Alligator mississippiensis: one gene and its partners. The protein of the gene in region 1 interacts with the protein of each later gene in a pairwise test. Links are inferred from orthologs where the notes say so. Each region holds a gene or a part of one and is shown in the gene's direction. Other genes may lie near its edges. The genes, in order: HOXA1, RGS17, FAM221A and CHRD.

Region 1 (7,478 bases):
TCTTTGAACAAGCCCTCAATAATGTCTCAGGGGCTCTTTTGGAAAGGGAAGGCTACACTTTTCAGCAAAATGCACTATCTCAACAGCAGGCTCAGAATGTACACAATGGAGAGTCCCAAAGTTTCCCAGTTTCGCCTTTAACAAGCAATGAGAAAAATCTGAAACATTTTCAGCATCAGTCACCCACTGTTCAGAACTGCCTATCAACAATGGCCCAGAACTGTGCAGCTGGCCTGAACAATGACAGTCCTGAGGCCCTGGATGTCCCTTCTTTACAGGACTTTAACGTTTTCTCCACAGATTCCTGCCTACAGCTTTCAGATGCAGTTTCCCCCAGTTTGCCAGGATCTCTGGACAGTCCTGTAGATATCTCTGCTGACAGTTTTGACTTTTTTACAGACACACTCACCACAATTGACTTGCAGCACCTGAATTACTGAGAAAAGTCAAGACCTCCTCTCGCCAAGGGTTCTGCCTTCCTTTTTGAAATGACTTAATTTTATTTTCCTTTTTCCTGGTCAGTATTTTCTGTTTCTTAATTCCCTTTGCTGTGTTTGAGAGCCATTTTACCGTTTCTTTTGGAGTTTTAGTTGTGTTCAGTTTAACCTAGCCACATCCTAGGTCCTTCTATGAAAGCAATATCTGAGGCCTGTAAGAAAGTGATCATATAGAATTGTATCGTCACTTTCTTTTTATTTTTGTATTGCATTAGGATGCGTTGTCATAAGTATTTTTGGTAGAATAAATTCTTGTTTGCTACAAGTAGCTTTCTCTTTTTCTTCCACCCTCTTTCTTCCTCACCACTGGTAGTCTAACGGGTCTGCTGCTGCTGCTTTTTTCCTCCTCCCCCTCCTAATCTAACTTCGGAAATAAAATTAAACAATCCGCTCACAACCTCTCTCCTTTTGGTAAAGTGACATATTTATTAGAGAGAAAAAGCACATTCCAATTCTTTATTGAAAGGATTCTTACAAGCAATAATTATTATTATTATAAAGCCTGCGCTCAAAGCTTACACAATTTCCTCCTTTTAACCTGGGCATATCTCGAAGAGCTTCTATTATCTGCGTGTGAATACAAATTTCGGGTTTTCTAGACTGTAACAAAACAAAAACCAAAAAACCCCAAACAAACAAACGTGCAGCTCTCTCCGTTACAGACCAAATGTAATCCATAGGAAATGGCAGGAATGCTTTGCTAGAGACACTGGCCTCTTGCTGTAGTAAAAGGCTGGGTTAGAAATTGCTAAGCTAAACCTCCGTGCGTCCAACAATTCGTTTTAAGGAAAACTTCTTTAAAAATACAAGCACAGTGCGCGATTGCTTAGCTCCCATGTGCTGAACGCGTCCGAGAAAACAAACCTACAAAAAAAAAAAAAAAAGGAAATAAAAAAAAATACAAGTGTTATTATTTGGGGGTGGGGGGGATAGGACTGCATTTCGGAAGGCTGTAGACTGTGCTAACGCGATTCCTCCCGGGGCTCTGCGGAGGCAGGGAAGGAGGCTTTTTCTCCATAAACCTCTTTGCGGTTGCCAAACTCTTGCTTCATTCGTTTAAATTTCAATGGAGCCCACTCAGCAGCCCGCTGCCCCATTCGTGGCGCGGTATAAAACCCCCACAGAGGATTGCATTGGAAGACCCGTCGATATTTTTAACACAGCCGAGAGTGCTAGGGCCAAAAATCAAGCAACAGATGGTGGCAGGGAGAGTTGCGGTTCCCAGAGCCAGGCGATGGCGCGGATCCCCGTGTGTTGTGTCTGTGCGCGGGGAGAGCTGGCCGGCGAGGCGTCCAGTTGCGCGGGGCACTTTATGTCCTCTGCCTGCGAGGAGGGTGGTTTCCCCGCTCTGCAACACGTTGTGGAGCTGGGTCGCGTGGGTAATGCCTAGAAGGGCTGGCCGCGATCCTTCCTAGCCTCATAAATCAAACTCTCTCTCTGAATGAGAATGTCATCAAAGAGATCAATTGCAGGAACACATGCACAAATAAAAACCCTCTTACGTATGTGCCGGGGCTGGGGATCCCCGTCTAAAACCATTAAGTTAGAAGGCGTTTAGTCATAATTCATTTTTATTGCTCTTTTAAAACAACAGCTTGGCTGGGCTGCGGGTGCGGCACACCTCTCCGGCCTGCTCCTGCTCCCTCTCCCTGCTCCGGCTCTCTCGGCCCAAAAGGGGCTCGCTCCCTCGCCTGGGGGGAGGATTTTAACTCCTGTTTAGCTGGACTCGTTCAGCTCCCACTGGACCGATGCCCTGCAGGCACCCCGGGCCTGGAGGTGGCCACGTCCTAGTGAGAGATCGGCCGCCCTGAACTCTCTTCCCCGATCGCTTTGCAAATCAATACATCTCCGCGGAGCGATTGTCTCCCGGGGAAGCCCTGAAAGCTGCCTGGGCGCTGGGGGCAAAAGACGGGGGGTGGGGAGGTGAAATGGGGAGAGCGTCAGAGTGGCGCCTAGGGCACCGGGAGGGCAGCAGTGGCTTGGAGATGCCCCCCTCGAAACCTTCTGAGATCTAGGGTGAGGCTGGGGGCGGCGTAAGGGGGAACAGAGCTGGCATAGAGCCCTGCTCTGAAGGCTTGTCTCCATTTGCCCCTACTCTGCCTCCCCCACCTCATTGTGCCGCGCTGGAGCAGACACAATGTAACAAAAGGGCGGATTTCTTCCCCACCATGGCGAGGAAAGCGAGGGCAAGGCAGCCGGGCTGCGGCGGGGGTGTCCAGCTGAGAGAGGGACTTGGGGGTAGCAAGTGATGAAAAGCGGGGTAATGCCTGGGGTGGTAGGGGGGAGCCAGCTCTCCAGTAAGCGGTCCCTGTGGCTTGCCTCTGCCCTGATCTCCACCCAGCTGGGGCAGGCAGAGGAAGTGCCCCTCCAGCCTTTTCTGGAGCCACAGAGGCGGAGTGCAGGCCGCCTCGTGCATCTCAGGGAATCCCCTGCTTCGCCCCCCCGCCCCCAAGCCAAGAGTGTTGAGCAACTCAATGGCTCCAAGCGGCCCTGGCCTGTTCATGGCGGTGCGGGAGAGCAGCCCGGAAGGGGGAGGGCGGCTCTTTTGTGCCTAGCGGGTGGAAGGGAGACATCTACCCGCTTCCCAGTGGCAACAGCGGGGCTGCGGGGTGCAGGGCGGCGGGCGGAGGTGGCCGCACAGGGGCACAGACGGCTGTGGAAAGCCGATCCCGGGGGTGTGGGGGGTAGTGGGTGAGGGGGAGAGCCAGGGGGCAGGAGCCTTTGAGAGTGAAACCAACAATCGGGCAGGGGGCCAAGGCAAAATAAGGCAGGGCTGAAGTGCACCTGCATGCCCCCTCCCCCCGAACCCCCCCCCCCTCAGGGCGGACTTGGCAAAGAGGCAGCTGCAGCCTCCCCCAGGGCACATCTCTCTCTACGCATCTCCCTGGGGCTGCGGCCGGGAGAGGGGTCCTCTCCCCGCGTGTGCATTTGAGCACGCCCAGGCACAGGCAGGGGAGGTATCCACACCCACGCGTGGATCTACGGCACCTGGGCCCTGCTTGTCTGCATGTGCCTGTGGTAGCGCACTCACACACCAGTCCCCATCCCCACCCCCGCACACGGACCCGGCTTTCCCTAGCTGGACAGAGGGAAAGTTTGAGCCCATCTTGGGGGGGCGTCCCCCGGGAGCCTCCGCCACTGACCATCTGCTGGCTCCCTGCGCTCCCGCCCCATGACAAAGCGGCTCGCAGGCTGACAGGGGCCCCGCTCCCCCCTCCCCTCCCCTCCCCTTCCCTTCCCTTCCCTTCCCCTTCCCCTCCGCCCCGCCGTGTCATCCGGGGCTTGCGTCTGTCTGCGCCGCGGAGCTGCCCCGGCAGCTGGGCTGGGGCGTGCGTGTGCACGCTTGCGGGGCTGAGCGTGGCACAGCCCGGCCCGGCCCGGCCACGTCGGCAGCCCCCCTGCAGCTGGCGGCTGCCCGGGCACAGGGAGCCCCGCGGGCTGCCAGGCACCTCCCGCAGCACAATGGCGTGCGATGACCCAGGCGCCTCATTGCCATGCTAATGTCCGCGGGCTGCGCAACCCCTTTAACTCTTGGCGGCGCAGCGCGGGAACACTCCCCCCCCCCGCCCTGCCCTGCGCGCAGCCCCTGCCCCAGCCAGCTGGGCCCCGCGGAGGCTGCCGCAGGATTGGGGAGGGGAGGGGGGGGGTGCTGGCTGCACTGACAGCGCCAACAATAGCAACCACGCACCGCCCCGCGCCCGGGGAGCGGGGGGCCCGCAGCGGCCCCGGCTTACCTGGCAGGCGGCGTCCTCCAGCCCTGTAAATCCAGGCAAGAGCAGCCCCCCCCGCGCCCCCCCTCCGGAGGCTGCTGCGGGCTGAGCGCCTGGGCGCGCACTGTCTCTCCGGCCCCGGCTCGGAAGCCCCAATGCACAGAGTGGGGGGGCGGGCGGGGGAGGGAGGTGGTGGTGGCTGCGCGTCACCTTGATGGAGGAGCGCTCGGGATTTAAATGCCACTGAAACGGTGATCCATCACCAGCAGGAGCTGGGAAAGTTTAGCAGGAGGCGCAGCCATTGGCTGCGGCCCTCACGTGTCCCCAGCTCCCTGTGCATCCATCTCGCTTTTCTCCTGGCCCCATGGAGGAGGTGAGAAAGTTGGCACGGGCACCCGGGGCGCGGAAGACCCGGTCACTCCGTGACAGATGGACACGGCGAGGATGAGCTCCTTCCTCGAGTATCCCCTCCTGAGCGGGGAGGCTGGGACCTGCTCCGCCCGCGCCTACCACCACCCCGAGCACGGGATTACAACTTTCCAGTCCTGCGCGGTCAGTGCCAATGGCTGCAGCCCAGGGGACGAGCGGTTCCTGGTGGGCAGGGGGGTCCAGATCAGCCCCCCCCACCCGCACCCACACCCGCATCCGCACCACCCCCAGGCGGGCGCCTACCAGCACCCCGGCAGCCTGGGCATGTCCTACTCGCACCCTAGCTGCGGCCCGGGATATGGCAGCCAGAACTTCAGCGCGGGGTACAGCCCCTACTCCCTCGGCCAGGACGCAGATGGCAGCGGCGGGTACCCCCAGTGCGCGCCCGCGCTGTACTCGGGCAACATCTCCCCTCCCGTGGGCCAGCAGCACCCCCCCCAGCACAGCTACGCCGCGGGCTCGGCGGGGCCCGCCCAGTACATGCACCCCTCCTACGGAGCCGAGCAGCAGAACTTGCCCCTGGCCGGGTACAGCCACCCCCTGTCCCCTCTGCACGCCAGCCACCCGGACACCGCGCGCTCCCCCTCCGCAGAGACCTCGCCTCCAGCGCAGACCTTTGACTGGATGAAAGTGAAAAGAAACCCACCTAAAACAGGTCAGTCGCAATCAAAGTTTTGTTTTGTTTTGTTTTGTTTTTTGGTGGTGGTGGGGGGATTCTCTCCTCTTTCTCTCTGTTTTGGAGCAGCAGACACAAGGCAGAGCGCCCCCCCCCCCCCCCCCCCCCCCGCACCTGTGCTCCCCGTGGCCTGCTGTTTATCTGGATTTTTATTTTTTTTACAGGTAAGGAGATCTCCGGCAAGGCAGCGCGGACAAGTTCACCCCTCTGCCATCATGACAGTCCAGGCTCTTATTTCCGCCCCCGTGGTAATATGTCTTGCGATTCATAGCCCACTCATCAGGCTTCCTTTGACACTAGTGGCTGGCTCCAGCTTAGCACGACCCACTCCATCACTCACTGCCGGGCTCCCCCGCATCCCGAGGAGTTCCTGCTCCATATCGCTCTGCCCGTGTGTACACATTGATTATGTCACCTCTAAATCATCGCACTTGCTTAAACTTGCCCTATGCTTTTCACAGGGAAGGCGGGAGAGTACGGCTACGTGGGGCAGCCCAACACGGTGAGGACCAATTTCACCACGAAGCAGCTCACGGAGCTGGAGAAGGAGTTCCACTTCAACAAGTACCTGACCAGGGCCAGGAGGGTGGAGATCGCTGCTTCGCTGCAACTTAACGAGACGCAGGTGAAGATCTGGTTTCAGAACCGTAGGATGAAGCAGAAGAAAAGGGAGAAGGAGGGCTTGCTACCCATTTCCCCGGCTACCCCCACGGGATGCGAGGAGAAAGCAGAAGAGTCATCAGAAAAGTCAAGTTCATCCCCGTGCACCCCTTCACCAGCCTCCTCTACCTCAGACGTCCTTACTACCTCAAACTGACACATCCCTGGGCCCCACCCTATAGCTACATCTTTAGCGTACCCTCATTGATTTAAAGTAAATATATATTTTTAAATATTCGGGTCATCCTGACGTTCAAATAACTTGTTCCGTGAGCATTTGGGTTTAGAAATACCCTCGGCTGTTTATTTAATGCAGAGCTAAACACAATGGGTTCTAATGTCAGTTTTTGATGACCACTTAATTAACTAGTCCTACATTCATTCCTTACATTCCAGCAGGAGTTGTGAGTTTTTTTTGTTTTTTTTTTTTTGTCTCCTTAGCACATTTATAAGGGTCTCCCTGTTTCCGGAGAGCCAAATTGCAAGGATGTTTCTATATTTTTTCCCCTACAGAAACACAAAGCTATCGAGAGTACATGACCTCATGATGAGATGCACTATTGAAAGTGTTTACACGAGTTATAGAACTTTCATCCATTAATTTAATGCGTTCTCTTTTTTCGTGTGTATGGGTTTGTTGGTTGTAAATACTTTGTCCAAGAGATTTATCTTTTTACAGATTTTCTAGAAATGATGTTTAGATTAAGCAGGGTGGGTACATTCTCAAAACTGGATCCAATTTTATAATGGTAAACCTGATGATATCAGTTAAATTTGCAATCAGATACCTCGAATTGTAGCACCATTTTTTTTTATGAGACAGAAGAAGGCTTCAATTGCACTAGGTTTTGTAAACCTTACTGGTGTGCTCCCCCTCTCCTCCCCCTCCAGAAATCTGTGCTGGATTATATTGGACCTAAAACGGTATTTTATCCCCCCCAAAAGACCTCACCTATTCCTATTTTCAAAGTAATCCTTCCTTCGAGTTGATGTCTTTTCAGCCTAATCGTAAATGTGATGACTGGCCAAATGAATGTATATTTTCTGTGATTCGTGTATGGAACTTTGCATGATGCACAATGCTTTGATGTACTGAAGGTACACTGAGTTCTATCAGTTGTCATTTGTGAGCTAACTATCTTTCTGATTTACAATCATTAAAGGTTCTGCGGTTCTGTGAGTGATGGAATCCAGAGCAGAATTTACGGGTCCTAAAATGTCTGTAATAAATATATTCAAGTTTCAGGTACACGTTGTTTTAGTGCATGTGTGACGTCATTGATCACCTACCTAGTTAGCTTCCTTATTCTCCTGGCGTGGCCTTCGAGACGCTATTCAATAAAAGACCTTTCTCCTACTCATTATTTTGCTGAGGCCAGGACTCTTGTGTGTCCTTTCCACAGCGCCCAGTATGCGGCATCGCACCAGCCTGGGGGGTGTGTGTGTGTGTGTGTGTGTGTGTGTGTGTGTGTGTGTGTGTGTGCGTGCGTGCGCGCTCGATGACGA
Region 2 (7,782 bases), on another chromosome or scaffold:
GGTGATGAAGCACTGGAACGGGTTACCTAGACAGGTGGTGGAATCTCCATCCCTGAAGGTTTTTAAGGCCTGGCTCAACACAGCTCTGGTTGATCTAGTTGGAGGTGGTCCTACTTTGAGCAGGGGGTTAGATTATATGACCTCCTGAGTTTCCTTCCAACCCTAATTTTCTATGATTCTATGACCTCAGGATTTTGGTGGATCACAGACTCGGAGCCAGTAATATAGGATCATAGGAAACTAAGAATAAAAGGGACCACAGGAGGTCATCTAGTCTACTCCCTGATTAAGGCAGGATCATCCCTGACGAAACCATCCCAGCCAAGTGTCTGTCTAACCTGCTTTCGAAAATTTCCAGGGATGGAAATTCCACAACTTTTCCAGGTTGCCTGTTCCAATGGTCAACCACCTTCATAATCAGAAAGTTCTTCCTGATCTCCAACCTAAATGTCCTCTGCTGCAGCTTGAGGTTACTTCTCCTAGTTCTGTCCCCTACAGTCACAGAGAAAAGCCCATCTTCATCCTATCCATAATTGTCTTGCACGTATTTGAAGGGTGTTATCAAATCCATCCCCTCGCCCCGGGTCTTCTCTTCTCCGGACTAAATAACCCTAATTCTTATAGCCTTTTCTCATAAATCGTGTATTACAGACCTCTAATCTCTCTCTCTGTTGTTGTTGTTCTTCTGCTCTGCTGAACTCTTTCCAATCTGTCTACATCTTTCTTGAAGTGTGGAGCCCAAAACTGGACACAGTAATCCAGGAGAAGTCTCACCATTACCAAACAGAGTGGAAGAATCACTTCCCTTGATTTACAAGAGATGCTTCTGTTAATACAGTTTGGTACATTATTGGTTGTGGTTTTGTTGTTCCTAGTTTGTTTTTTGAAACAAGAGCACACTGTTGGTTCATACCGAGGTTATGGTGAACTGTAACTCTCAGGTCCTTTTCTGTGGTACTGCAGCCTAACCAATCATTCCTCAGTCTGTATTTGTGTATCTTAGACTTACCTTTCAGAGGATCCACCCAACCCAGTATCATCTGCAAATGTGCCAAGTGTGCACTCAGTCCAGTTGTCCAAATCACAAGTGGAATTTTACCCCATGGTTAGATTGGTATTGACTCCAGGGGGTCTCTACCTGGGATTTCTTGAGTGTATATTGACATTTTATACAAGCATGACATTGGCTGCCATGGTTCTCCTGCTTTACTTGTGGCAGGTTTGCGTGTTAAGTCTATGTTGTGTCAGGGTTGAGGGTAGTTTTATGTAGAGTTTAGATTATGATTATATGGGATGTTTTGGATAGGGATGATCCTGCCTCAGGCATGGGGTTAAGCTACATGATTTATAGAGGTCCCTTCCAGCCCTACTTCTCTAGGACACTATGTTTAATGATATGTGGCCCAGAGTCCTGGGGAACCCCACTTGATACCTTCTCCCAACTAGACATTGAGCCATTGATAGCTACTCATTGGATGCATCTACACATGTCAGTATGGTGACGTTGTTACTGTGCCATGATTTAGTATTTCCAAAAGGAAGTAACAGCCCATACTGCACCGTATGTACAGCGCATGCTTATTTTTAGCAGCTACTTTGCCGTAGCAGCATGCTATACTGGGGGAGCATGTCACTTTGGCAAAGTAGCTGTTGGTCATGTGTAGATACCTGCAGCTGCTACATCACCATAGCACATTGCTACTGTGACATAGTGTCATATGTAGATGCACCCAAAGAATAGAATATTCCAAGAGTGACTTGGATGAGGGCATGGAGAGCATCCTGTCCAAGTTCGCAGATAATACCAAGTTATAGGACAAAGTTAACACACCAGAGGGTAGGGAATGGATCCAGGCAGATCTGGACAGGTTGGAAAAATGGGAAGAATGAAATAGGAAACAGTTCAACAAAGACAAGTGCAAAGTGCTGCACCTGGGCAAAAAGAACCACCAACACTTACAGGCTAGGGGATGACCTTCTCAGCAGCACAGCAGCAGAAAGGGATCTTGGAGTCATAGTTGATTCCAAGATGAACATGAGTCGTTAATGTGACGAAGTGATGAACAAGGCTAACTACACTTTATCATGCATTAACAGGTGCATGACAAACAGGTTCATGGAGGTGATGCTTCCCCACTCTGCGGCACTGGTCAGGCCCCAGTTGGAGGCACTGCATCCAGTTTTGGGTGCCACACTCCAAGAGGGATGCGGAGAATCTTCAGAGGGTTCAGAGGAGAGCCACTCATGTGGTCAGAGGCCTGCAGGCAAGGAGAGACTGAGGGACCTAGATCTCTTCATCCTTCACAAGGGAAGGCTGGGAGGTGACTTTGTGGCTTCCTATAAATTCAGCAGGGGAGGGCAGCAGGGAATAGGAGATACTCTATTTACTAGGGCACCCCCTGGAGTAACTAGGAACAATGGCCACAAATTGCCCGAGAGCAGATTTAGGTTGGACATTAGAAAGAACTTCTTCACAGTAAGGGCTGCCAGAATCTGCAAAGGGGTTCCAAGGGAGGTGGTGCTCTCCTCTACCCTGAGGGTCTTCAAGAAGAGACTGGAGAAGCACCTACCTGGGGTCATCTGACCCCAGTGCTCTTTCTTGCCCAGGGCAGGGGGTTGGACTCAATGACCTACTGGGGTCCCTTCTGACCCTAACACCTATGAATCTATGAAACCAACCAGTTATGGATCCACCTTGCAGAGCATTCACCCAGTCTGCATCTTAGCTGATTCATTAGAATTTTGTACATCAAGGGTTAACTTTGAGGCCATTCCCGTTTGTAGTCATTATGAATGTGTTTACTGAACAAATAAGATGACCACCTTGGAATGTGGTCTATGTGGATGACATGGTCATTTGAGCTGAGAGTCTAGAGGAAGTGCAAGCTGTATTGGACCGATGGAGAGAAGTGCTAGAGGGAACAGAAATGAAGATTAGTCTATCCAAAATGGAATATATGCACTGTGATTTCTCTTAGGTACCTGATATGGGAAATGTGATAACTGATGAAAAACATGTTTGAAAAGTTGACAAGCTCAAGTAGCTGGGGTCAACCATTCAGCAGAATCCAGTTAGATGAAGAGCTGAATCATTGAATAAGGGCAGGGTGGACAAACTGGAAATTGGCAACAGGAATATTATGCAACAGAAGAGTATCAGTGAAGCTGAAGGGGAAAGTCTACAAGACATGTGTATCCAGCACAGAAACATGCCCCCTGAAGAAAGCTCAAGAAATAAGACTGAACATGACAGTATGGGTGAAAGGGATATGGCTTCAATCAATTATTTCTGACAACTGAAGTTGAGGTGGTACACGTGGAGGCCCTTGAGATTTCAGTCATCTGTGCTGCCCTTTTGTTATTTAAAAATGTAGACCAGATTTTCACATCTAGGTATACAACTCAAATACAGGCATTTAAAATTAGGCCCCAACATCCTTATTTAGGCATCTATGCAAACCAACTCTGGTGTCTGAAGTGCAGAGCAATGACTTTCATATGCTTAAGTTCTAATCACTAGGAATCTGTGGCGTCAGTGCCAGGATTCAAGGATAGAGTCCAAATGATTATAACTGTTGTTCTCTGATAATTGGATTTGGGGTTTGGAAAGAAAATACAAGTGATGCCCATGCTTTTAGGAGCATTAACTTTATGGGGCTGTTTCATTTCAGCTGTGGTAGAATCAGAACAGTTTTGGCCTCATTTTCTTGTAGTGCTATACCACCACAATTTATTGGGATCTCAGTTATTCTGGTGGAATAAGAGGTGCGGTGTGGATGTTAAATAGAAGGAAGATATCCAGTCAGCAGCATTCAGGTTCCAAATTAACATTTTTGCACCTTTCTCCTATTATGATGTGTTGAGAGCCAGATTGTTTTGGTTGACTAGTAGAAGCAACATCTGTTGTCTGTTTAGATGCTAGGATTCCTAGAATGGGAGTGGGATTCAACAAAATCCAGAAGCCAAACAAGTGTTTCTCCAAAATGGGTGCACCGAGGCATATCAGAGTCCAGATTTTTAAGGTGCAGTGGGTATAGTAAACATGTGCTCTATTTAGACAGTGGCAGCTGTGAAACTCAGGCAAAATAATTGGCAACATCGTCCAGGCTTCAGAAGCTATCGCCACATGTTTACACTCCTGCTTCAACTAGATGTGTTGCAGTCTGAAGCACCCACACTTCTCTGTGGAGCGTGGGTGGCCAAAACGGTGTCCAGGGGCTGGGTCCAGGTTTGGGCAGCATTTGCACTGAGGTGCATCAAGTTTGGGGCTGTTTTATGTGCGTGCAGCAAAAGCAACAGCTAGCCTTTCTTTCTCTATTTGCACAATGGGGGAGGGACAAAAATAGGTGGCACCCAGGTAGGGCCGAGCCTTTGCCTTTTCCAGTCGGGATGCATTCATCCATGATGCCCGTTTTCCATTTCAAAGACAGAGAGGGCAGCTGTCCTGACTCGCCCCTGGCATCTATTTAAAGAGAGAGGTTGGGAAACATCCCACTGATCCATCACGCATCACACCAGGTGTCTTCAAAAGCCATCCCTGTAATCCAGCCTGGCTCGTGCCCGCCGGATCCCACGGGGCTGGGACCAGCATCGCCCAGGCTGGACCCCTCCCGCCTGCACGGCTCAGCGGGAGCTCCCGGGGGCCGGGGCTGGGGCCGGGCCGTGAGTCACAGCCTGGGGACAAGCGGGGAAACTCCAGCTGCTCGGGGAGGCTCCAGCGCTAGTGGCAGAGCGCATGTGCGCCGCCTGCCTCTCCTCTCCTCTCCTCTCCTCCCTCCTTTCCTCTCTCTCTCTCCCTGCCGGCTGGGTGCTGAAGTTGGGCGGATGGCAGCAACCCAGCTCCGCTAGGACCAGCTGCACCAGCCTTTCCCTGGGATCGCTCCGTGCCAAGCGCGTGCGTCCAGGCGGGGCTGGGTAAGATGGACTGGGGCTGTTTGTTTGGTTTGGGGGGGGGGGGTTCTTTTTGTTTTGGGGGGGGTGGGGGGTGGATTTGAACCTGAACCTTGGGAAATGACACCAAAATGTCTGCTTGCTCCTGGTGCGGGGGGAAAAATAATAAATTAATAAATACAAGAGAGATGGGGAGCGGGGGGAGAGGGTAAGGGATGGAGGGCAGCTGCAGAAGCACTCACAGGGGGGACTGCCTTGGGTGTGTGTGTGTGTAAAAGGGGCAGTGAGCAATGGATCGGCGGCTGAGACTGCAAGTGTGTGTGTGTGTGTGTGTGTGTGTGTGTAAAAGGGGCAGCGAGCAACGGATCGGTGGGTGGGTATGGGGGGGGGGTGTGAGTGTGCCTGTCGCTCCCCTGCACGGATGCACAAAGGGGCTGGGTCCCGCGGCTCTGGCGGCGGCATCCTCCCCGGTGCCCGCGGGTGCTGGCGCTGGCGCTCCGCGGCGCGAGGGATCCCGGCGAGGGGCGGTGATGGCCGGGGGCTGCAATGTTACACCCGCCGGCTGGCACATCCTCAACCAAGGCTGCCTCTCGCCCTCCCGCATGCCCCCACAGCGGCTGCAGGCTTCGTGCTTGGGTCGGGGGGGGCGAGGAAAGCCATCCTGGCTTTCAAACGGCAAGGAGATAAGAGAGATGCCCCTTGCCTTTCCTCCACTGCCTCGCTTCCTTCCCCGCGCAGGGGGCCCGGGCTGCCTCCGGATCGCCCACCCCGGCGCCGGGGATCCGGGGCCGGGCGGGTCCCGGCCCTTCATTGTTAGCATCCAGCCGGCCGCGGCTCGAGCAGGGGGCCGGGAGGGGCCGGATCCGCGCCCCCGCCCCCGCCGGGAAGATGTCGGAGGCTGGCGGAGGCCGGCTGGCCGCCCCCGGCCCGGCTGGCAGGGAGGGAGGCATCCCCGCGAGCTGGGCAGCGGTGCCCGCCTTGCCCGCGGCCAGCGCCCCGCTCCCGGCACCTCCCGGAGCCCGCACTCCGCCTGGCAGGCAGGCGGGTTTCCTCCCAGGGAGGAGCTAGTTTCCCCTCTGATCCCTTCAACCCCGGGTTTCTTTTTTTTGCGAGAAATGCTGACCTCCCCCCTCCCTTGAGACGCAGATGGAAGGTCCTGCCTAGCCACCTTGGGCTCCTGCAGCGCGCCTCCCTCCTAATGCTCTGGCCCAGCTTATTCCAGCACTGGTGTAAGGGCGCTTTAGAGCTCAGAGTTGGGGCGTCCAGGACTTTGGAGGGATAATTCTCCCCCCTCCTCCCCATCCTAAAGAGTGTGGCCCCCATGTGTCACCAGCACAGACCGGTTTATTGAGAAGTATTTAGGTATCCAGCTCCTATTTATGTGCCTAACTCCCAGTGATTTTAATGGGAGTCCTTTGCCTGGACACCTTGTTGAGCCATGTCTAAGATCTTTCTGAGCAATGAAAATGTGGGCAAAAATATAAAATAACCTAAGTGAATATTGTGATTGTATCAGATGCCAACCCAATAGCTCCAGAGATTGTAGAAACAACATTTACGTTTTCATACATCAGTGCATCAGTCTTTACCTTTGATCTTTAGTGACCTCAGAGTTTTTCACTGTCAGGGAAAATGGATGAAACAGAAGAATAGGCTGCACTGGAGGAAAGCTGGGGAAGGGGAGTTAGCGACTGGCTATGGATGTTATAGCTAAGAAAAAAATAACCAGCGCTGTGCAGCTGCACCAAGTGAATTCCCGTGTATTTCCATGAATGCTAATGTTATTATAAGACTTAAGAAATGTTTAGGTGACTTCAATTCTTACCCATTGAAGTAAACAGAGAGGAATTACCCCTAAACACTGGTAAGAAACATCATCTTATATCTTTGAAGGTATTGTTTTGTTGTTGTTGAGATATCCCACCCTATCCAGAAAGACTCAGAGCAGCTTACAGATGAACAACCCAAAAGATAAGAAACAAAAATAAATTCCCCAGTGGACACCCTAAAACTTTAAAACTCTACCCTATACCACCCATACCCATTTCCTGCATATTACTCAGGTGAGCAAATCCTCTGGCCCATTGCAGCCATGCTTCCCAAGACCCATTCTCAATTAGGTGTACAGAAACTTTTTTCTTTTCCTCCCACTCCTTGCCTACCCAGAAGCATAACAAGCAGAGTTGGTGCCCTGGGCAAGCCCTGGGGGAGAGCTGGGGGGGGTCATGTAGTTTCTGAGAGAGGGGGCACAGGTTCAAGAGTGGGGACGTGGTTCGCAGAGCAGTCTTAACCATGCTGGGGACTCTTGGCTGAGCTGCTGCTGCCCCTACCTCCGCTCTTAAAACAGCAGCAGCTGGGAAATTTTTTGGCCCTGGGCAGAAAACAAGCAAGTGAGTGAACTGTGTGGCTGCTCTTGCTTCCAGGACATGGACTCTGCAGGGCTGGGGGTGATTTCTGTGCCTTTCTTAACTTTTTGCCTACTCTCCCACCCCTAGATATAATACTGCCTCCACATGCACATCTGCCCCTACTCCCCTGCCTTACATCCAGGGGAGATACCCTCTCCTTCAATGTTCCTATCAAGTCTACTCCCCCAGTCTATCATTACTTGACCAAATGAATATCCACAATGTGCACGGTACCATGCACACACACAAGAGTGTGCAGGCTCTGCCCCAAAGAGCTTATAATCTAAGTACTAAGTCCAGATCAACAGAGGTATTTAGGTATCTAACTCCTATTTATGTGACTAACTCCCAATGATTTTAATGGGAGTCCTTTGCCTGGACACCTTGTTGAGCCATGTCTAAGATCTTTCTGAGCAATGAAAATGGGAAAAACTATAAAATAAATAATGTAAGTGAATATTGTGATTGTATCAGATGCCAACCC
Region 3 (6,939 bases), about 2.5 Mb from region 1:
TTTTTTTTAATACCCATTTACTAGGGATCTTGTAGAAAGTGACAGAAATGAGTATCAACAATTGTATTTGGTAGCTTATCTGAAGTTAACCCTACTTGGGCTCTGTCATGACCCAAAGGTCTGATTTTTTTGTGTGCGCTTCGGCACTAAGAATTATCCCCGTGGGTTTACAACTTCACTGCACGGAGGAGTTCTGCTGCGCAGAGAACCCGTGTGCAGGGGAGTGTTCCCGCCACTTTGCAGCGATCTTTGCAGGGTGCATTTCCTCTGCAATACAGAAATGCATGGTGCAAAGGTTTCCCGCTCGTCGTATGCAAATTTGTGCCCCACAATTGGCTAGTTCTAAATTATTCACACGTGGCGGTTAGCGATTGGCCTGCTAGCCGTATAAGAGGCTTGAGCAGTTTCCGCCCAAGCCGAAGAGGACTCCGCATCCATCTCGTGGGGACTCTGGGTGTGCGCGGCAGGGTAATAGAAACCCTGTGTGTCGCTCAGAGGGGTTTGGCGGCCTGATCCACCGCCCACCTCTTCCCGTCTTCGAACGGAGCCTACTATAAGACGTAACGACGAGTTTAATGCGCGCTTGTCCTGGACATCCGGAGTTTGTCTGCGTGGAGCCTAGCAACCTCCACGTGATTGTTCGTGTTTTGTCTGCGTGGAGCCTAGCAACCTCCATGTGATTGTTCGTGTTCTGTCTGCGTGGAGCCTTGCAACCTCCACGTGTGTTCGTGTTTTCTGTTGTAACCGCAACTCAAGCAAGTTCTCAGCCTACACCACGACCATCTCGGTGTAAGTAAAATAATCTTAAAATCAACCGTTACGTGTCTGTGCCTAATTCTAGCTCGGCGCCCGCCCTCTCCGACCCGGCCTGCCCGGGCTGCTGGCCACAGCCCGTGTGCAGAGCGACGAAAGCGACCTGGGGTCAGACCCGGCGCGTGCAGGCTCTAGGCTTATAGAGACTTGCAAGCTAAACCACGTAAGAAGACCTTCAAGAAAAATCCACCTGCTGCTGATTCTGTGTTTAGGTGCCACTCTTTTCTCCAAGTATGATTCCCTATATAGGGCTTTTTCACTCGAGCTGCTGGAAGAATCATGTTTTATAGAATTCTGAAGTGAAGGTCATTGTCAGTTTAAGACACTAAAAAGACCATGATTCATTTAAGAAATGTCTATATTGAATTCCAGTTTCTGTATTTGCATTTGGGATCTCAACATTCCTTCCTGAATTTGAATTGGATATTGTCTTTATTTACTGTTCAACACTATCCAAAGGTAGACTGCATTTCAGCTGTAAAACAATTTTGGCACATAAAAGGCTCAATAACCATGCTTATGTGCAATCCTGTCTACTTGTTGAGAGAGTTCCAAGTTTACAGGAGTGTGTATAAGGTGCCTTTGAAGTAACATTTCTTGTCTAAATTACTGATAAAGGCAAAATGGCTTCTGAGTGACTACAAATGTTTTTTTTTGTAAAATGGGCAGACAAAGAGAAGTATAAGACCTATGAGGAAGCATGACAGAATATTTTAGAGAGTACATAAAACATGGGAAAATGCTTAAAAATTTCACATCTTCAGAACCTGATACTTGAAAGATGTGAATAAAGTTCTGATAATTCAGTTCTTAATGCTGAGTAAAGGCAATGGTATTCTTTTTTTTATAAATGCTTTTCTAATTCATAAAATGAAATATTTGGATTGTATTAATGATGTGGAACAAGTTTTCAATTAGTGCATATTATCCTATTACCACCACAACCACACACCTTTCTCTGAAAAAGGGCCTATTTTTTACACTAGGAGCTTTGCATACAGAAACAAAATCTGTCTAATCAACTAAGGGAAAGATTCACTTGACATAAGTCAGTTTGCTAACAGTCATGTTGTTAACTTCAATTGCCACAGTTACAAACTGTGACTTGGTCTTCTGTTAGTCAACAGAACAGTTCTATTGACTTTAAAGGACTGTGGGAATCAGGCATGAAAAACTGAACTGTTTGTGCTTGTAGTGTTTTTCTTTTACACAGTAAGCTCTTAGGGTTTTTCTTTTATTGTATATGGCCAAACATGAATCTGTGAATTGCCATACATACCTACCTGATCATGAGCATGGATTTAGTTAGGAGTGGCAGTTACCAGAAAAGCTAAAATCCTTACAGCCCATGTCAGTTTTGGAGTTTAAATATGGCTGGAAATTTAAAAGCTGGAAAAAAACAGTGATGACAATTACACACTATGCAGTCTTATCTACACACACAGCTTTCGTTGTGATGTTACAGTGGTACCCCCCCACCCTCCTTTTTTTTGAAGGAGGCTTATACTAGGACAGCCTTCCTGTACAGGAAGAGGAATAGGAACAACTCAACAAGGCTGGTTCACCTTTATAGTAATATAACTGTGCCCATGAGTGGATCTGGGAGTGCAAGTGGTATAGTACATCCTCATGTATAACAAGGTATCCTTTTCTCAAACTTGGAGAAACTGGACATTTTACTAATAAGCTAGGGGCAAAGGGCTTTATTTTTTCAGTTTAAGATAAGAGCAAAATAAATAAATATGTCCTTGGAATGTGCATTCATTTGTTATATCATTTGTATAAAAATAATCAAGGTAAGTTACTTCATTAGTGCTGCAGTCATTAGAATTAAATGGACATATTTTTCAGATTCATAAAACAAAATCTAGCTTCCTTGAGACTCTTGATAGCGTATCCACTGCTTGACTGACTGCTACTTACATACCTGAGTAAATGTTCACCTGTGTTAACACTGTCACACCTGAGTTAATGTTTTTAGCTAGAGTTAAAAACAGTCTGCAGGACAGTGAAATAGGAGATACATTACCAAGAACCATTAACAGAGAGCAAAATTACATAAGAAAGACTTGCTTGGCTGAACACCAAGACCTTTATAACCGAGAGAGGGTCATTAACACCTGTGGAAGGAAGAATTTAGAAGGAATCAGGTAGATTTGTACATGAAGTCAAACAACTCCCTCAGTGTCGCCTCAATGGAAATGCTGCTGCCACTGCTGGGCAGCTGATTTTTTACTTTGGGTGGAGCAGGAATCAACTGCACACCCACCCAACGCTAGAGCTTTTACTAGGGCAAGGCTCCTTCTGGTGGGGGCGTGCTTTCTTTTGAACCAACAGGTTATTCTGGCAAAACGTCTGGTGCAGGCATACTTAAAGCAGGCTGACATCACGCATTCTGCTGGCCTCCTGGTTTAGTTGGGGGTCCTTGCGACCAGCAGAGATGTGCCGGCAATATATCCAGCTGTTTTTTGCTGCTGCAGCCTTTTTTGTTGAGGTGGGAAAAAATTGTGCCAGCAGCAGGAGCGCTGCTTGGGGTACAAGTTGTGTCTGCTGTAGGGCTGCTTTATGGCTCCCGAGCACAGCAATGTGTGTGCGTGCAGCGCAGTGCAGGCCCGTGTGTGTGTGCGTGAGTGTGCAGCAGTCAGGACTCTGTGCGTGCGTGCAGCAGAGTCAGGGCTGTGTGTTTGTGCGTGCAGGACAGCCAGGGGTGCGTGTGTCAGTCACAGGGATGGCCCCTGGTGTGTGGGTGTCAGAGCAGTGTCCCCTGGAGGGTGTGTGGGGGGGTGTATGTTTGTGTATATGTAGCACAGTCAGGGCCGTTTGTGTGTGAGCATTGACCCTGGAGAAGGGTGTGTGTGTGTGTGTGTGTGTGTGTGTGTGTCCGTGTCCCTGGAGGGGTTGTGTAGCACAGCTGCAGCCCCTGGCGGGGAGGGTGTGTGTGTGTGGAGATGTGTATGTATGTGCGAGTCCCAGGGACGGCCCCCGTGGCGTACGCGCGTGTTTGTGTCACAGCGATGGCCGCGCAGGGGGGAGGGGGTCGCGTGCCCGAGCGCGTGTCACAGCAACGGTGCCGGCGGGAGGGCGGGCGGGCGCGCGGGGCGCTGTCTCACGCCCCGCCCCCCGCAGCGGCCGGGCCATGGAGCGGCTGCGGCTGCGGCTGCAGCCGGGGGCCGCGGCGGCGGTGGAGGAGTACGCGGAGTACCGCAGGTGAGGTGCGGCGCGGCGCGGCGCGGCGCGGCAGGGGGGATTTGCTGTCGCCGCCTCGCCCTTACTGCCGGGCCCGGCGCTGCACGCGCGGTTCCCGGGTTTCTCTGTTCTTGCAGTCGCTCCGAGGGCGCGGGGGCGGCCCGGGCCTGGGGCCCCGGGCATCTTTGTCGGGGCAGGGGGCAGAAAAGAGCAACAGCTCGGGCTGGAGAAAGGCTGGAGTGCTGCTCGGGGAGGCTGTGGGGTCATTTGTGTCACGTCTGCCTAAAGGGTTGATGTAGCCCACCCCTCCTGCTCCAGGCAGGATCATCCCGATCCAAACGGTCTTATCTAAGTGCCTGGCGAACCTGCTCCTAACGGTGGGCTAAGCTGGAGCCGTTATCTAGGGACCTCCAAAATCCCAAGACCTCCCGGCTCGTTCTCTTCTGCCCAGTTGGTATGATTTGGAACTGATGTGGCTGATTTGACTTGGAACACAAGGTAGATTTAACCTCCCCCCCATACAACCCCCCCCCCCTTAAAATTTATGCACGCCCTCAGGCCTTGGGCCTGCAGGTAGGATGCCTGCCAATGGGTTTGGGAGTATTTGAAGCCCCAGGTTGGAAAGTGGGGGTGGAGGATACTTGCTGGTTGTAGCACCACAGATGGTGTTTGAATGATTGAGTGTTGCTCAGTCAAGAGGATTCAGAACTGACTTGGCTGATTTGACCTGAAATACAAAGAATTTTCCAAAAAATCAAATCAAAACCCCTCTTAAAATTTACGCACAGTAACCCTGTCAAACCACAAGGCAGTTTGCCCAGAAACACTGTCAATGTCCTACTGCTGCAAGGTTGTTAAAATACGTTCAAGAGGTCGAAGGATTCAAGATCACACCCCACAATACAGAGGAAGGCAAAAATCCCCACGGTCCATGCCAGCCTGACCATGGAGTCAAATTCCTTCCTGATTCCAAAGGTGGCAACTCTCTAACCAGGAACCTCTGGCTTTCAGTTCCAGTGTGAGCATCAAGACACCCCTGTCAAAATCTGCCTTGGCTTCACCCAACACCCAGTGCTTTTGAGGAAGGCAGACCCGCCACCCAAAAAACCTCCAAAAATTCCTACCCGGACACCTGTAGCAGCACGAGGGGAAAACATTCCTTGACAGCCCCAGGTGGCAACCAGCACAGCTCTGAAGCGCAGGGAAAAAACAAACACCAAGTAATGGATGTTCTAACATGAGAATGAGTACCTTTTTCTGCTGCCATGTATAAGCTCATTTTGTTATTTCATCACATGAGAAATATTGGAGATGAAAAATATGTTTCTCTTCCATGCCCAGGCCTGTTTGTATGTTGCCTGCCTGCCTAAGATGATACTTTTGTATTCCAGAAATACAAGCTGACACACATTTTGACCTATTTAAAAATATATGCAATATGGAGTCTCTATGTATGTTTTCATCTAGACTTCATCCCATTAAAATGCTCACTTAAACCACATTATATAATGACTTTCTATTGTAATAATCATATATGATATGATAAATTATACAGTATTATCTTAGTTTAGTAACACTTTCAATAAAATACCAAAGGTACATGTGATTATTTTTATACAGTCATTTCTACATACATATCCAAAGGGCTTTTTAAAGGTATGTAAGTACTGATATCGTTACAATATGCCAAGTGTCTATTATAACACCATAGTACTGATGGGTTACACTTCTGGTGCAGACACAGGCTATGCCAACACGAGTTTTTCTACCCCCAAAGTTAAATCAAGTCCCCTTAACAACAGAGTAATACCTTTCTCTGCCAGCAGTGCTATATCCCCAGCAGGGTTTTTTGCTGGCAGAGCTTTAATGATTCTGGGGTGTAATCTTTTCATGCCCCTAGCAAACATAGATCAGCCAGCAGGCTTTGTAGTATAAATCCAAACAACTCTGTAAGTCTTGAGTGTTGTAATGCAGTCTGGATTTTCTCACTCAGCAGAGGGGTTAACTTAACTGTCGTAGTTTACTCTGCCCTTAAGATGTAGATTGATGAAGTGATGCACCAGAGGTCACACACAAGTCTAAGACAGTGAAGTAAAGATCCCTGGATAACTGACAACTCATCCTTTGTTTTCTTCTGTACAGGATAAAACTTGATAGCCTGCATTTCCCCCTTTTCTTCTTTCCTTCCTTCTAGCTCCTCTTAAAACACTTTTCAGATGATGATAGCAAATTTATTTAACAGCCTGGCCCTGGGCTGAGAATGTGTCTAAAAGCTCAAGTATATCTCTAGCATGGTATTGTGGGAGATACAGTTTTTAGTGTTATTTCAGGAGTTCTCAAACTTTGTGATACTGCAACCCCAAGTGCTGGATGGTGACAGCAGGGGACAGGGAGCTCGCGTGGGGCAGCTTCTGCTACCATCCACCACTCTGTACCATTGCCACACGCTGCTTCCCCGCGCCACTGCGCATACCCCCTTGGGAAGTTTGCAGCCCCCTTTTAAGTTGCTCACGACCCCTCCAGGAGGTTGCAACCCACAGTTTGAGAACCTCTGTGTTATTTGCTAGTGCATCACTGTTCATAGTTCTCAGAAGTGTAACTTACTGGCATTTGTCTTTATTTTAAAAAATCTTCTTGGTTTTTCATAAATAATGATGTATAAATGTTCACAGAATTGTAGGTGAGGATGATGGAGGAAAACTCTTTACTCCCGAGGAATATGAGGAGTATAAAAGAAAAGTGTTACCAATCCGGTTACAGAATAGATTGTATGTGAGCTGGAGATCACCAACTGGCATGGACTGTAAGCTAGTGGGCCCAGAGACACTGTGCTTTTGTACCCATAGGTAAGTTGTTTGGGGGTTTTTTCTGCCATTTTTTAAAGTTGAGGAATGTAAATCATTTAAGGATAACATTTTAGTGCATTACAGATAACTTGAA
Region 4 (7,269 bases), on another chromosome or scaffold:
GCTTGGGAGCGAGTGCGAGGAAATAATAAAATCCATGTGTGACAGACAAAAGGCAGCTGCTCCCCCCACCCCCGGTACCTGTTAGCCCCCCCCCCCCCTTGTCCCCCTCCCCTCTCCTCCTTCCCCCCCAGGGTCTTTGTCTTGGCCGCCAGAGCCCAGCTCCAGTTGTGCAAATACTGCGGAGCTCGCCATAATCCCCACATCCAACGTGAGTTATGAGATGTTTCCACAGATCACAGTGAGCCAGGCTCTGGGGACCAGGGCCTGGCCTGGGCGACCGCACACCGCAGGCAGCCAGCCCAGGCTGGGCCGCAGGGAGGGGGGATTAGTCATGGGAAAGCTCATCCCAAGGCTGGGGGGGCCTGGCACTTTCTCCCCCCCCCCACATGTGAGTCACCAAAGGAGGTGCTGGAAGCTCTGGGCACCCACAGGAGGTGCCCCCAGCCCCCTGCAGCTGGCCCTAAGGTGCAGGGCAGGGGCAGAGGGAGCCAGGGTAGCCAGGCTGGGTGCTGCTAACAGGACTGGTCCACTGTTGCCCGGTGTGTTCAAAGTGCAGCAGATGCCAGCAGACAACGGGGGATGCACAGAGCAGGGCTGAGGGCAGCAGAGGTGGGCACAGAGATGTCTTCCAGGGGGGCTGGCCAAAGGAGGAGGGATCTGGAGCAGCGCAGAGCTGGGCCATCATAGTCCTAGGTGGAGAGTTAACAGCAAGCCCCAAGCTCTCCACCAGGTGCAGGAGGCTGTGGGGGCGTGGCCTCTGGAAATAGGTGTGGCCACCACCTTGGGCAGGGCTGGTTTTAGGTGGGGGGTGGGGGGTGCAGCACGCCCGTACCCGACAGGAGCACCCTGGGGCAGCTGTAAGGCAGGGGCATGGGAGCTTGCATCTTCCCCTTGCCACTCGCCAGCCCGCATGGCACAGGGACTCATGCCCCTCCCAGCCCCCTCCCCAGCGGGGGCACCGGTGGGGCTGGTCCATGAACTCCATGCAGGCCCCGCTGTGCCCAGCCAAGGCACCGCTGGCGCCTGTTTCCTCACCACCCGCACATCAGCTGGTGTCCTGCAGTGACAACTCACGGCCAGGACCCGCCAGCTGCCACCAGGCACGGATGTGCTGGGTGCAGTCTGGTGTAGCCAGGCGAGGCTGTCACAGCTGAGCATGGCCCACCACACCAGCCTGCTCTCGGTGGGGTGGGGTGCTGGGGCCAGGGAAGCAGGCCAAGCTGGGTCCTGCTTGAACTGGCAAAAGGAGAAGGGCCTCTTCTGCTCTGCAGTGGGCATTGCCCCTCACGCGCCAGCCCTGGGGCACAGGGGTGCCCCCAGCATACCAGGCTCCCTGCAACATTGCAGGGGAAGAGCTGGAAGCGGCTCCCAGCTGCAGCACTGCCCAGAGCTGCAGGCGGGAGGGGGGGCTGGGGGCTGCTCTTATGAATGCAGCATTATGGCTGTGACAGGCGCAGATACAGCCTCCTGGGGACACCCCCCCCCCCCCCGCCCAGCCCCCCGCGGCTCTGTCAGCTCCCAGCCTCTGCAGCAGCTGGAGGAGTTTGCCTGGATTCCTGCCCCCTGCGGCTCCACACCCCTGCCTCCTCACTGTGCTCACACACACATGCACACACACACGCACACACACGCCAGCTGCCTGCTCCGGGATAGGGTGGAAGCAGTCGGCACGTGGTGCGTGGTGTCTGGCTGAACCAAGGAACGCCCCCACCCTTTTTTTCCCCCCCTGCTGGAACAAAGGACCCCTCAATCCCAGTTTCACCCCCTGGCTCGTGAAGGGGCTGTGGGCAGCTCATGCCCCCTGGTGCCTCAGTTTCCCCAGCTGGGGGGCTCTCAGCTCCCATGCAGCCCCTCCAGCCTTGGTTTGCAGCCATCAGTGCAGGCCCTGAGGCACATTTGGCTGCACCGTGACAAGCGCTTGGGGAGAGGTAGGAGGCAATGCTTTCTACCCACCCTGGCTGGCCAGAGACCCCAAGGCATGCCAGTGACAAGGGTCTGGCCTCAAGTACTTACAGCTCCATACTATAGCACCCAGCTGTCCCCCTGCCCCACACCAGCACCCCCAGACTAGTGAGTCTGGTTCAGGGGCTCAGTCCTTAACCCCTAGGCACTCCCCAGCCCGGGGGTATCCCGAGGGGCCTCAGGTTGCAGACACATGACATTTATTCCTGATTAGTCTCAACATCAGTAAAGCGGAGGGACAGCACATGGCACTGATGCTGGAGTAAATGCTGGTCTCCACTGTGACTTGATTTCTGGGGAAGCCAGGAGGAAATTTCCATTTGCCAGTTATCCCGGGATAAAATGCTGAGTTATCCCGGGATAAGTGCTGTGACAGGGACTGTGCATGGCCACTTCCCCATGCGGGTGAAGGAGCTGTGGTGGGAGCTGGCTCAGGACAGTGGATGGGACCCAAGGACCCTCCCACACCACAGCTCCTTGCGCTCCAAGAGCAGGGGGCACCATCCAGCTTGGCCGAACCAGCACTGGTCCAGAGCTGAGCCCTCCAAGTGGGGGCCAGGATGGGAATACCAGCACGTGACAGATGTGGGTCACAGGGCTTGCGGGGTCAAGGCAGTGTAAGGCCTGTAGGACCAGCACAGAGCAGCCGTGGGGTGAGGAGCCCATCCAGTGAGTGATCGGAGTAGATAGAGTCAATGGTGAAGCCCCAACTGCATTCCTCAGCTTAGAGCTGGCTCATGGGGAGCCCCTTTCTCTGGCCCAGCAGAGAAAGTCTGCCTCTGTCTTGGCAGCAGGCATCTACCCATGCCTCGCCCCCGGGGCCAGCACCCACGCACCTGCTGGCTGGCTCCCCAGCACCGCTGCATGGAAGGGACCCAGGCATCCCCAGGCCCCGCGCCCGTGGCAGCTGCCTCCTGTCAGCAGCAGCTTCCCTGGCTGCCCGGCACAGCTGGCCGGCATGTGTGTGCGGATCCACGTTGATTTTGGCAAGGCTTCTTGGAGCGCGCTGCATTGTCCCAGCAGCACAGACTGCCTTGGGGCTATGCACCCTCCCCTGGCAGCCCGGCCAGCCAAGGGCTAGCACCCTGCACCCCCAAAGGGTGGGTCCAGTGGTGGGCTTGGGCACAGCCCCCCAGAGGGCCAGGGCACAGGCCTGTAGCAGGGGCTTAGGGTAGGGATCTCACTAGGCCTCTTGAGTTTTGGCTTTGGGCTAGTGCTGAACTACCCTGCCAGCCCTGGTGCCCAGTGGCTGGCATCTGCTGTGTGCAAGACAAGGGGCAGCCATGTCCCCCCTTACAGGCTGCAGGACCTGGTACAGCTTTGCCTCAGGGCCAGGGGGCTCAGGGGGACCCTGGCTAGCGGTTGTCTCTGCAGTGCTGATAGCCAGGGGACAGCTCCTAAGCAGCTGGGGCTGGGCTGGGAAGGGGCTGGGTTCACCTCGCCTGTGTCTCCTCCACAGTCAGTGCCCCCTGCTCCCTTCGAGGGCCCGCAGGGCATCAGCAAGGAGCCCTGGCTCCCAGCAGGAGATAGCGCTGGCCCCCGTGGCTGCTCAGGGCAGCGCCCACCCCCTTGTGCTGCGGGGCCGGGGCCGGGGCCGGGGCCGGGGCCGGGGTCGGGGCCGAGGCCGGGGCCGGGCTAGCGGTGCGGGCAGCTCATCCCGCAGTCCGTCCGGCCCGGCTCCTCGCGGGGAGAGCGGTGGAGCGGGGCAGGGGCGCCTGCGGTGAGGCGTCGGGGTGGCCGGGCCGGGCCGAGCCGGGTTGTCCTGGGCTTTGGCGATGTAGAGGGTTGCCGTGACGTAGAGGGGATCTGGGGTGCGGTGACGTAACGGGGCCCCGGGACGTGGAGAGATTGCACGGGGCGGTGACATAAGGGTGGGGTTGGGTGCGGTGGCACGGGGGGGTCCCAGGAGCGGTGACACGGGGGGGTCCCGGTGCAGTGGCGCAGGAGGGGGTCCTGGGTGCGGTGACACAGGGGGTCCCGGGTGCGGTGACACAGGTGGGTGTCCCGCTGCTGTGACGCAGGGGGTCCCGGTGCGGTGACATAAGGGTGGGGTTGGGTGCGGTAACTCGGGGGTCCCGGGTGCGGTGACACGGGGGGGTCCCGGTGCGGTGACTCGGGGGGTCCGGGCGAGTGCAGCGCTGTGCGGGGTCCCGGCTGCGCCGCCGGGCTCCGGGGCTGCCGGGGCAGAGGCAGAGGCAGTCCCGTCCCGTCCCGTCCGGTCCCGCGGCTGGTGGAGCAGCGCGACCGCCCCGGGGGGCCGATCCCGCTCCGCTCCGCTCCCCCGCTGGGCCCCGCGCCCGGCCCGGCCGCAGCCTCATTCGCGGAGCCTTTGTTTGCTGACGATCCTGGGCTCTGCGCTGCTGCCGCCGCCTATAAAAGCCGGCGGGGGCCGGGGCCCGGCGCAGCCTCCCCGCCTCGCCCCGCCGGACGCCTGGCTCCCCCGGCCCGGCCCGGTCATGCCCGCCGCGGCGCTGCTGGTGTTGGGCGCGCTGCTGCCCCTCGCCCTGTGCCCGGGCCCCGGCCGCGCCGCCCGCCCCAAGCCCGCCCTGCCCATCCAGCCCGACGCGGAGCCGCTCCCCGCCCGCGCGGCGGCAGGTAGGAGCCCCGCAGCCCCGTGCCCCCGGGTGCTCGGCCGGCCTGGCACGGGCGGCACGAGGGGAGGGATGCCCGCTCCGTGCCCCGTGCCCCGTGCCCCGTGCCCGGGGCCGTGCGCTCAGGGTGCGCTCCCGCAGGCTGCTCCTTCGGCGGCCGCTTCTACGCGCTGGACGAGTCGTGGCACCCGGACCTGGGCGAGCCCTTCGGCGTGATGCCCTGCGTGCTCTGCTCCTGCCAGCCGGTACGTGCCGGGCTCCGGGCCGGGGGAGGAGGGGGCGCACGGACCCCCTGCCCCGGACGCTTGGGGTCGGTCCTCCGTGCCCTGCGGAGCCAGGCGCAGCCCCCAGGCCCCTCCCCATGGCTTTCCCGCTCCGGGTCCGGGGCTCCGAGGGAGCAGGGCGCGGCCAGCCCCCAGCCCCAGCTCACCCCCTTGCATCACCGCACATGGGACCCAGCCCCAGCCCGCCACCCTGCATCACCGCACCTGGGACTCAACCCCAGCCTGCCCCCCTGCATCACCGCACCTGGGACTCAACCCCAGCCTGCCCCCCTGCATCACCTCATGGGGACCCAGCCCCAGCCCACAGCCACCCATCACCGCCCGGGGACCCAGCCCCAGCCCACCCCCCCCGCATCACCGCGCGGGGACCCAGCCCCAGCCCGCCACCCTGCATCACTGCACCTGGGACTCAACCCCAGCCCACCCCCCCCCGCATCACCGCGCGGGGACCCAGCCCACCTCCCTGCATCACCGCACCTGGGACTCAACCCCAGCCTGCCTCCCCTGCATCACCGCGCAGAGACCCAGCCCCAGCCCGCCCCCCTGCATCACCGCACCTGGGACTCAACCCCAGCCCACCCCCGCGCATCACCGCGCGGAGACCCAGCCCCAGCCCGCCCCCCTGCATCACCGCACCCGGGACTCAACCCCAGCCCGCCCCCCTGCATCACCCCGCGGGGACCCAGCTCCGGCCCAGCCCTGTTCATCCCTGTCCCAGCCTAGTCCAAGTCCTGTCCCAGCCCACCCCCTGCATCACTGCACCCAGGATCCAACCCCAGCCCTGGCCAAGCCCGGCCCCAGACCATCCCATCCCAGCCCCAGCCCCAGCCCCAGCTCATGGAGGATGTGCAGCCCCATTGCATTTCACCTACCCCAGCCCCCAGGGCTGCAGCAGGCAGCTCCCCCATCAGGCCCTCTTCACCCTGGAGAGGTGGGGAAAGGTTGCCCCTGGGTCCGTGCTGCCGAGGTCTCCTGGAGCAGTGAGGTGCCCTGCCATTTACACGGGCACATGCACACACGTATACACATACATGTGCCTGCACCCACACATACACTCATGCACATACCTGCACACCTGCACAGGCACATGTGCACATGCATGGATGTATGTACACATACACATGCACACACACGAGTGTGCACACATATATATGCATCCATGCATGCACACACCCTGCCTCCCCCGCAGCAGGCAGGCTCCCTGCATCCTGCCCCCCACAGCCCCCGTGCACACACCTCTCTCCCCCTGCAGCAGAGGAGCCGCCGAGGGAAGGCCACGGGCAAAGTCAGCTGCAAGAACATTAAGCACGACTGCCCCCCCCTGCCCTGCAGCGAGGCTGTTCTGCTGCCAGGCCACTGCTGCAAGTCCTGCCCCAAGGGTAAGGCTGTGGCTAGGAGGGGATACTAGGCATAGGCCCTGGCAGGACCGGGCCAAGCTGGGCGGGGAGGGAGCTGTGGCTATGGCTGTGGCTGTGGCCATGGTGTGGGCTGAGGTGTCCTCATTTCTCCCCGTGGAGAGAATTTCCCTGTTTGTTTGGGTCTCACAGCAACGGGAAGCGGTGACCAAAGACATGTGACGGGCCAGCCCGCCAGCACAGGCCAGGAGTTGGGGCAGGGGGTGACTGCAGGCACCGGAAGGCCTTCCCTTGGAAACCACCCATGGGGTCACAGCCAGGGGTGGCAGGGTCCCTGCCCCGAGAGAGGGTGGCAGGAATGCACAGGGCAGCAGCCTGCTCCTTCCCCCCCATGCCTACCTGCCTCCCACCCTGGATGTTATAGGGCCGTGGGCTGTGGCTGGCTTATAGGCAGGAAGGCCAGAGAGGCATGCATTCCCCTCCTGAGCCTGCCCAGTCCTGGCAGGACAAGCCCGGCACAGCCCTGCCTTTCACTGTGCCTCAGTTTCCCCTCCATTGCGCTAGAGGCACCAGTCCCTGACCCAGAATGTCTCCTCTCCCCTCAGCTGAGAAGAGCCGCGAACCACCCCTGGATGGCTTTGAGAACTTCCAGGACAAGGACAGCTTGCACAATGACCGCTCCTACCTCAACACCGAGGACCTGGCACGGGATGACAGCCGGGCAGGTAGCTCCGGCCTGACCAGGGTGCCCATGGGCTGAAGGCAGCTGGGATCAAGATGGGGCTGAGGCAGGGGCAGGAACAGGAACAGGTGCTGAAACAGGGGCTGGCCTATTACTTGCAAAGCTGAGGCTAGGAGCTCCCAGCCCTGGCATGCAGCCTGCTCTGGTGCCACCTGAGAGGGGGGGGGTGGCATTCTTCAGGTGCCCAGACCTCCATGCCCGCCAGTGCCCCTCATGCACTGACCTTGTCTCCCCCTGCCACAGAGTTTGTGGCCCTGCTCACCAGCGCCTCACAGCCTGAGTCCGGCGCCGTGGCCAAAGCCAGTTTCACCCTCGTGCGCTCCTACCTGCTTTTC

Evidence for each region.
Region 2: the proteins of HOXA1 (region 1) and RGS17 interact in binary tests that used the Homo sapiens proteins (3 or more experiments, as listed by UniProt). The two-hybrid records come from large-scale screens. The link is inferred for Alligator mississippiensis from reciprocal best matches to the Homo sapiens genes HOXA1 and RGS17.
Region 3: the proteins of HOXA1 (region 1) and FAM221A interact in binary tests that used the Homo sapiens proteins (3 or more experiments, as listed by UniProt). The link is inferred for Alligator mississippiensis from reciprocal best matches to the Homo sapiens genes HOXA1 and FAM221A.
Region 4: the proteins of HOXA1 (region 1) and CHRD interact in binary tests that used the Homo sapiens proteins (3 or more experiments, as listed by UniProt). The link is inferred for Alligator mississippiensis from reciprocal best matches to the Homo sapiens genes HOXA1 and CHRD.

What each region holds. Positions count from the first base shown.
Region 1 is NC_081828.1:156,073,304-156,080,781, forward strand, and holds HOXA1 (homeobox protein Hox-A1), read left to right. Parts: upstream 1-4,473; 5' UTR 4,474-4,636; coding exon 4,637-5,291; intron 5,292-5,476; coding exon 5,477-5,560; intron 5,561-5,773; coding exon 5,774-6,129; 3' UTR 6,130-7,221; downstream 7,222-7,478. Other genes in the region: HOXA2 (homeobox protein Hox-A2), read left to right, coding at 1-440. UniProt on the Homo sapiens protein: Sequence-specific transcription factor. Regulates multiple developmental processes including brainstem, inner and outer ear, abducens nerve and cardiovascular development and morphogenesis as well as cognition and behavior.
Region 2 is NC_081824.1:131,938,370-131,946,151, reverse strand, and holds the start of RGS17 (regulator of G-protein signaling 17), read left to right. Parts: upstream 1-4,781; 5' UTR 4,782-4,914; intron 4,915-7,782. UniProt on the Homo sapiens protein: Regulates G protein-coupled receptor signaling cascades, including signaling via muscarinic acetylcholine receptor CHRM2 and dopamine receptor DRD2.
Region 3 is NC_081828.1:158,549,427-158,556,365, reverse strand, and holds the start of FAM221A (protein FAM221A), read left to right. Parts: upstream 1-3,920; 5' UTR 3,921-3,949; coding exon 3,950-4,020; intron 4,021-6,671; coding exon 6,672-6,845; intron 6,846-6,939.
Region 4 is NC_081830.1:83,523,811-83,531,079, forward strand, and holds the start of CHRD (chordin), read left to right. Parts: upstream 1-4,254; 5' UTR 4,255-4,418; coding exon 4,419-4,557; intron 4,558-4,694; coding exon 4,695-4,798; intron 4,799-6,089; coding exon 6,090-6,216; intron 6,217-6,797; coding exon 6,798-6,917; intron 6,918-7,177; coding exon 7,178-7,269. UniProt on the Homo sapiens protein: Dorsalizing factor. Key developmental protein that dorsalizes early vertebrate embryonic tissues by binding to ventralizing TGF-beta family bone morphogenetic proteins (BMPs) and sequestering them in latent complexes.